2 linked regions of the Danio rerio genome follow. The protein of the gene in region 2 interacts with the protein of the main gene of each other region in a biochemical or structural test. Links are inferred from orthologs where the notes say so. Each region holds a gene or a part of one and is shown on either strand. Other genes may lie near its edges. The genes, in order: xaf1 and rnf114.

Region 1 (3,934 bases), on a different chromosome or scaffold from region 2:
GTGGTTCGTGCAGGTCAAAGTTTGCCTTGGCTACATCCTTATTGCTGCATGAAAACATCAGAAGCTCATTAGACAGATTGGAGCATGGAAAAGCTGTTTTGTTAATCAAGTAGTTTCAAATCCTAACTTCGACACTAGCATTTTCACAAATTTCACTCTGAATTTGAATGACTTTGAAACACAAAATATTTTGTGAAGAACACCCTAGAAACCTTTTAAAAATATTCTGAATGTGCGCAAAATATGATAATTTATTGTAATAACTGGTTGCCATGTTGAATTAAATCAAAATGAGTGGTGGAATTAATTTATTGTGACCTTGATTAAATAAAATTAACAAATCAATAACAGGCCCATAGGCAGCCTGGTGAAAGGTGGGGTTCTTTTTTCTTAAAAATACCTTTTTGCAGTTATTTGCCTCATTTTTTATTCAATTGGGAAGTTTAAATAGGTTGCATTTTAGTGACATTTTAAGCACTTTTTTTGCTGGATTAGCTGGTTGGATGGTCATCATAACAACACTTTTTGATGTGCCAAAAACATTTTCTAAACATTTAGAATGAAGAAATATGAGAACAATACTGATTTTTTAAATACAAATGTATTGCATCATATATCATTAGAAAAAAACTAGGAATCTGTTAAAGTTTTAAATTAAAAACAAGACTATTTCATTTAAATATCATTAATTTAAATAACAAACTGGCCAGCACATTCAATTTTCCTCAGTCACACTGAAGCGACAGCCAACAGAGGATTATGCTTCGTGTTAAAGCTTTCTTCTATGGGTTATATCACAATTTCTTATGGCATAGCAGTCAAATGGGACAAATGAGCTCATGTATGGGAGAACTTCTGGACCTTTGTTGGTAAGGAGTGCGTCTTTCAAACCACCCAAACCCCCCCCCCTGCCAACAGGCCTGAATAAGTCAATAATAATAATTAGTGGTCATTGTTAACAAAACCAGTGAATACATTTTTAGTCCAAATTTTGGATCTTTTTAATGTATTTTTTACTGTGACAATGATTATAATGTGTAGCATTTTACATGATGAATTATTTAAAATGTAGCAATACATATGAAAAAGGAAACTATTACAGTATATAACAGATAACATTAATCCACAGGCCCAAAAGACAATGCAATTTAGGATATTTATATTTCATTTTTGAAAAACTGCATTTTTTAGACAGTTGACAGTGTGAGGCTAAGTAAGATAGATCTTTTTAAATAAATTTATGAATGAAGTCAGAGATCTGTATGATTCAAATCTTTTGTTCAACACATTAGCGAACCAGACACAAACTAGTTTTGTATGATTACATGCGTTTGCGTACAATTTGTCGTACATTCTCCAGTTCTGTTGAAATTTATCTGAAAATATGCAAGAGGTCCCTCTTAAATCACATATTCTTTGTTCATCAAAAGTCTCAAGGGATGGAAGGACATTAAGGTGAGTAAATGAGGGCTGAAGTGGGCGAACTTTAACCTTAACGATCAACGTAAACCACCTGAGAATGTTTACGTCATTAGTAATGGTGGAAAAATCCTTAAACCTCACTTAAAATGTAAGCGATTCAGTAAATAAACAAAACAAATCACAGTTTTATTTTATACAATTTGAAATGAACAAATTATGTCGAATATTACGTTACAGTCAGAACTGGCTCTATAAGAAGATAACGTTACTTGATTTCATCTCGCCATAGTTTTAAACACCGTAAATATATCCTTTATAATTGAGTAAATAATAAAAATGTTTTTGTTTTCGTTTTGCTGTTGTTAGTGTAACTTAACCAGACAGGAACATGACGTCGTGAACATGTAAGTGATCTTTTAACACGGCGATATTTATGTTAACGTTATATAAATAGACGTCTTACAGAACCAAACAAAAATGCTGTAAAACACTCACCAGTGAGTACATAAAACAAGCTCTTCTTCTGTGTCCATACTTAAACTAGAAAGTGAGACGACTTGGGACTTTCACTTATCCAGAACAGAAAGCGGAACCGAAACTTACCAGGTGACGTAAACATCTCTGATTTATAAACATATCTTGTTATGTGTTGTGATAAAGAAATGCAGACACTTCACTTGACATTTTTAACATGCACTATGTCTCATCTAGTATAAATGATACAAAGGTCCTGCCCATGAGGTATTTGGTCCACAGTAACCAGGTAGCATAAATCCTTTGACGGCTCTTCATCACCATGGTTACAATAATGCAACTAAATATCTGTACACACCACTGATCTGTATTAGAGAAATGTCAGTGTGTATATCAGCAGCACACACACACACACACACACACACACACACACACGGTTTGGGTTTATTTTTGCCTTTAAAACTGATTAATTCTTCACAGCATAGATTTAGGATAGATTGAGATGCTGTAAACATTCCCTGGATAATTTTAGGCACATTTTTAATGAAAGCATCACACAGATTGTTGGCTGCACGTCCATAAATAGAAAAAAGGAGACAAATGTAATTAGTTCCAGTTTATTATAACACTTGCCTTTAACAAAAATTACCCATCAAATTAAAGTATATATCAAATAGCTACTTAAAGGTAGAATAAAATATTCAAATATTAAAGTCTGCATTAAATCAAAATGTACACTGTTAACAAATTAACCCTTGAAAGAAATCCACTGGAAAAAACAAAAAACAAAAACATTTTGATATCTTTAATGAGCCTGCCATTTGTCAATTACTTCGCTCTAAAATTACCCAACTATGACGCTTTCTGCTACTGAGAAACCCGGAAATGTGAAAAGGGTCTATAACCACAATTGTTACTTATCATTATTCTTTGTTTTTGTTATAATTAAACAGTCAGACAAATATGTGTTAAAAAATTACATTTTCCACTAACTGTTTACTTTTCGCATGTCATGATTTTCCCAAGTACGATGCGATCCTGGATCAACATCTGTGTTGATCCTGGAACATCATTTTTGTTCAAAATTGTGATCCATACCTATTTCCTACCCCTAAACCCAAACATAACAGTAAATTATTCCCAAAATCAGAAAATAATAGTTGGATGACAATTACGCAGAAGTGCATAAAACAAACTGTAAGCCTAAACTTAACTGTAAACGAACCCCTAATTCTGATTGGCTGATTGGAATGTTGTTCCAGGATCCACATAGATGTTTATCCAGGAACACGTCCTACTTGGTGAAATCAGGTTGGCGGTTTACTTTCATGCAAGCCATACAGTAACCAGCGATATTTATGTGATTATACAGTAGATATTAGTAAATCTGAACATTCCATTGCAATATAGCCTACCACTAAATTAAGTTCTGTAAATGTAATGTGTGTCTCTGTACATTTGTGAAGTGTGTATCAGTCAGTTATTTTAATGCATTTTTGGCAAAATGTTGATTCCGTTGTGTGACTGTGCTACCTTGCTACTATGGATGGATCCATGCTTTCATGTTGGTTTTGCAAAATTCTGACCCTGAATGTCGCACATGTCAAGGTTTGGCATGATTTGTGTTCAGAGGGGCTCATCTGCTTGAGGGCTGACCTTGGTTGTGACAAGTGAGCATTTGAGTTCCTTTTGCCTTTCTATCAGTAGCCTAATCTTGACCTCTGACATCAACTAGACATTTTTACTCACACAATTGAAGCTTATTGGAAATTTTCTCCTTTTTACTTTTGTATGGGGGGATGTGTATATAGATGAGTGGTAGAGCTGTGGTGAGCATCGAATGAAAAATCGATTTCACATTGATTCAGAGAAGGGCTGCACACAATACTAGGACAATATGCGATATTGTTGAGTGTTGCAATCATGATATACATTGCAATAATGATATATTTACTTGTCATTTATTTTCTCAAACCTGTTTGAGTTTCTTTCTTCTGTTGTACACGAGATACTTTGAAAAAAATGCTGAAAATCTGTA
Region 2 (3,934 bases):
TACACACCCTGCCTTGCAGAATACAATAATTTTAATAATTTCAACAAAATAGGATGGATCATAGTGAATGCTAGTTTTGAGTACTACTCAGTGGCATAGCGCAAAATGTGGGGGCCCCCCTGCAGGGATCACTAATGGGGCCCACTGATGGGGGGGAAATCACAAACTGAGGGGACACGGAGAGTCGTGGAGCAACGACGCGAGGAAGCGATCATAAATTGAGGAGCGGGAAAGGGGGGCGGGGTGGAAAGACAACGCGGGGAAGCCTTCACAAACTGAGGAGCCATCACAAACTAAGGAGCGGGAAAGGGGGGCGGGGTGGAGCGACGACGCGGGGTAGCCTTCACAAACAAGCAGCGAGAGCGTCAAAGTAGCCGGAAGTCCTTCAATTTCAATGAGAACCGGTGGCGAGGAGCAGCGCGTCGAGTCTTCTCCGGTGTGGGCATCGAGGAGGACTTGAAATCAAGTCAACTTTATGGTAATATGCTATGATGTGGTTCGGCGGCAAGCAATCAGAATGAAGTAGTCCACCGTTTGAGAGGAGTTGAGAGAACACAGACCTGGGAACTTTGGTTCCGACCACAGTTGTTCCCAGGGGTTTGATTATTGTGGTTGCCGGATTTTCAATTATTAAAAATCGCAACAAGGCGGGGCCCTTAATCACGCGGGGCCCCCCCGCGGAGCGTGCCCTGCTGGCCCGTCCGCTACACCACTGGTACTACTCCACATGAGCTAGATATTTACATATAAGACAAAATAATAACTGACTAAATCTATCCTGTTGAAATGTTTACACACCCCTGAATCAACTGTATGAATGTTTGTGATGGTTTTTAATGAGTCATTTGATTGTCCTGAAGAGTTCAACCAGCTGCTGTAGTTTAGAAAAGGCCTTCAGCTCCTGCAAATTCTTCAGTTTACTGCGTCTTCTTTATATTTTTACAGCCCTACAACAGTGACTGTGTGATTGTGATGCCCATGTTTACTGACGAACTCAAGCAAAACATTTACCGAAAGTGAAAATGTTTCCTGACACTCAGCACATTCACATTAAGAGCAGGGGGTGTAAACTTTTACACAAACTAAAGTATACATTTTCAATTATCACTGTGCTTCAGCAGCTAATACTAATACTAAATAAGTACAATTTACCTCAATTGTTCATTAAAAATCATTATATTGCCTTTTTGAGTAACTGATATATAAATAAAAATGAATTAAAAATGTCTAATGTTTTGTGGATTCCACTTTTCTTTACTGCTCTATTAATAATTAATATTCCAAACAGATTGAGTAACTTAACTTTTTTAAAAATACACGTTATTAATCTAAAGTGAAATACATTTTAAAAACCGCCTTCCCTACACTGCCTACAGCACCTTAACCAAATACAAATACTCTGTAAATGCTATTATTTTGCACTTTTAACTGATGTTTGCCAGGAATGCTTGTAATTGAAAGGCCACATCTGATCTGACAAGACAGGCGCTGGGTGTTGTTTTCCGGTTCTAATTACGTGTACACTACAACTCCCACAATCCCACACTGCAAAGTTTTGTACACAAGAAGCAAAACTGAAAGTAACCAGTTTCTGTCTTATAAAAAAAATCGCACAACAACAGCACTTACTGAACAGTGTCCAACACAATCACATTAAGATTAAGGCGGAGGTCACGAAGGTTGTGAATCGCTTTGAGGTGATGAGGGGATTAACATTAAACTACTCAACATGTCAACCGAGAAGTTGCTGCTAGCAGACATGAGCTCTCCAGAATACTCACGTATGTCCGCACTGCGTGGTCATGGGCCGGACGAATATCTCCAAACACACGGGACACACGAAGTCGTCGTCTTCAGCATCGTTTACGTCGGTTTGCGGGTCTATTTTGAGCATGGCCATTTCTGCTGCGCTGTGTTCCGTGTTCTTGAACTCCAGTGAGATTCACTTTTGTGAGGGGAGGAGCAACAACTCAGCTGATCTCCTGATGCACATGAACGAGAAACAACATTACAGCTCTTATTAGACGTACGACAAATAAAAATAGCCGTTTGCTAACAAATAAATGCAACATATAGTAGGCTACATCTGTTGTGGCTGTGTTGTCTTTTACGTGCGTAGTTATAAGCGAGATCTCGCTAGTGCTCTCCGATGCATAAACGAGTCATTTGAACCGGCTCTTTTAAATGACCGACCGAATGAATGAATGTGAAAATGACTCGATTGGAGGTTGAATCAGACTGTAAAATAAGAACGTAGAAGTTTTTTTGACGTTACTTTTTTTATTATTGATGGGCAATGCAAAATCTAGTCACAGTATAAAGAAAAAAAAAATGAAAACTTTAAATAAAAATGTTTTAAAAGAAATGCATAAGGATATTTACATCATCATAAATTAAAAGAAAATAGTATATGATTTACAAATGTCAAAAAAGTTTCTAAGCCTACCCTAAACTATATATTTAATTACATATATATTTATATTTAATATATATATATATATATATATATATATATATATATATATATATATATATATATATATATATATATATAATTACATTACACAAAGGGGGAAGTCTTTCCAAAGCAAATTAGAATAATTGCTTTCATTTATTACCAGAATTAATGAAAGTAGAACATTTTTAGGAGTGAAACTTGAATACGGGCGACGTTTTAGAAAAGTAATCTAAAAAGTATACTTCGATTCATTAAAATAAATAAACATTCAAATAGAAAATAAAATATACTTATATGTGACAGTTATATATCTCGCAAATCTTAATTAACTTTTACATAGCTTTTTTTTTATCCCAGAATAGTAAATAAATGCCTGTAAAATCTAAAAACAACATCTGACCTCGCAATTCTTGCATTTGTCTTGTTAGAAACGTAGATCAAAATATTAGCATTTAACATACAATTTCACAATTGAGAATAATCTTAAAAATGCAATTCTTAGTTATATGTTGCAATTTTTACTTAAAAAATTATTATTTCACATGTTGTGTATTATTTAATATTATTCTCAAAAAATTTGTTGGTAGAAATATAAAAATCCAGACATTCATAAACAATGGAACAATTCACATTTAAAATAGAATTCATAGAACTGATCCTGTGTACACTATTTAGATTTTTTTTAGTAAAGCATGTACAATCAAAGGTATTTTTTTAAACAGAGCCTTAAAGCCTAGAGGATATTTTTTAGAATGATTGATTTGAACATTTATGTTAGTATTAATACATTATCTAAATTCATGCAAATTGATGAAAATTGTTCATTCTGTTTAGATCATTCAGAGTCTTTTGAATGTCAGCATTAAAAGAAGTTTTGGGATGACTTATCTCTGTATGTATCGGGTTTTAGATGGAATTTAACATCATGTGCTAATTTATTTTGACTGAAACAAACTATCTGTGGAATTTATAATGAATATTTTGATTTTATTTGGTAAATTTCATATCCGTAGAAGGAATAATACTAAATCTTAAAGGTATTCATTATAGATTTTAATTTTTAAATATACTCGCTACAGTGTATTGATAGCAAGAAATGTCAAAATACGATGATAGTTGCAAAGGAGTTGAAGCTAATTGAATAGAAAACTTGCTGTCTATTGTAAATAATGTCTTACCTATAGCTGCTGATATTGTAAAAGTTTTTATATTGAGGTTACGTGTTTTTATTCATTCTTGAATATTTAAATAGATTTTTAGTTAATTTATTTTCTTTTATGTTTTAGTTAAGTCTGTATTTATCTGGATATATTTGCTTTTTGCTGTTAAATGACTCCATTGAATCAAAATATGTGGCCGAACCGACTCGCTGAATGAATCCGAATCCCAGCGCTAGTCCTGACTGCAGCTTGCGGCCTCGGGAGCGCGCATGGGAGGTAGTGTGGCGCATGCGCAGTGCGGCGGTGGGGATTTCCA

The links.
Region 1: the proteins of rnf114 (region 2) and xaf1 form a complex in vitro, tested with the Homo sapiens proteins (2 studies listed by BioGRID). The link is inferred for Danio rerio from reciprocal best matches to the Homo sapiens genes RNF114 and XAF1.

Annotation. Positions count from the first base shown.
Region 1 is NC_133190.1:31,663,333-31,667,266, forward strand, and holds the start of xaf1 (XIAP-associated factor 1), read right to left. Parts: upstream 2,207-3,934; 5' UTR 1,956-2,206; coding exon 1,918-1,955; intron 1,827-1,917; exon of another isoform or gene 1,789-1,826; intron 1,456-1,788; exon of another isoform or gene 1,328-1,455; intron 45-1,327; coding exon 1-44. UniProt on the Homo sapiens protein: Seems to function as a negative regulator of members of the IAP (inhibitor of apoptosis protein) family. Inhibits anti-caspase activity of BIRC4. Induces cleavage and inactivation of BIRC4 independent of caspase activation.
Region 2 is NC_133198.1:3,522,655-3,526,588, forward strand, and holds the start of rnf114 (E3 ubiquitin-protein ligase RNF114), read right to left. Parts: upstream 2,410-3,934; 5' UTR 1,901-2,409; coding exon 1,782-1,900; intron 1-1,781. UniProt on the Homo sapiens protein: E3 ubiquitin-protein ligase that promotes the ubiquitination of various substrates. In turn, participates in the regulation of many biological processes including cell cycle, apoptosis, osteoclastogenesis as well as innate or adaptive immunity.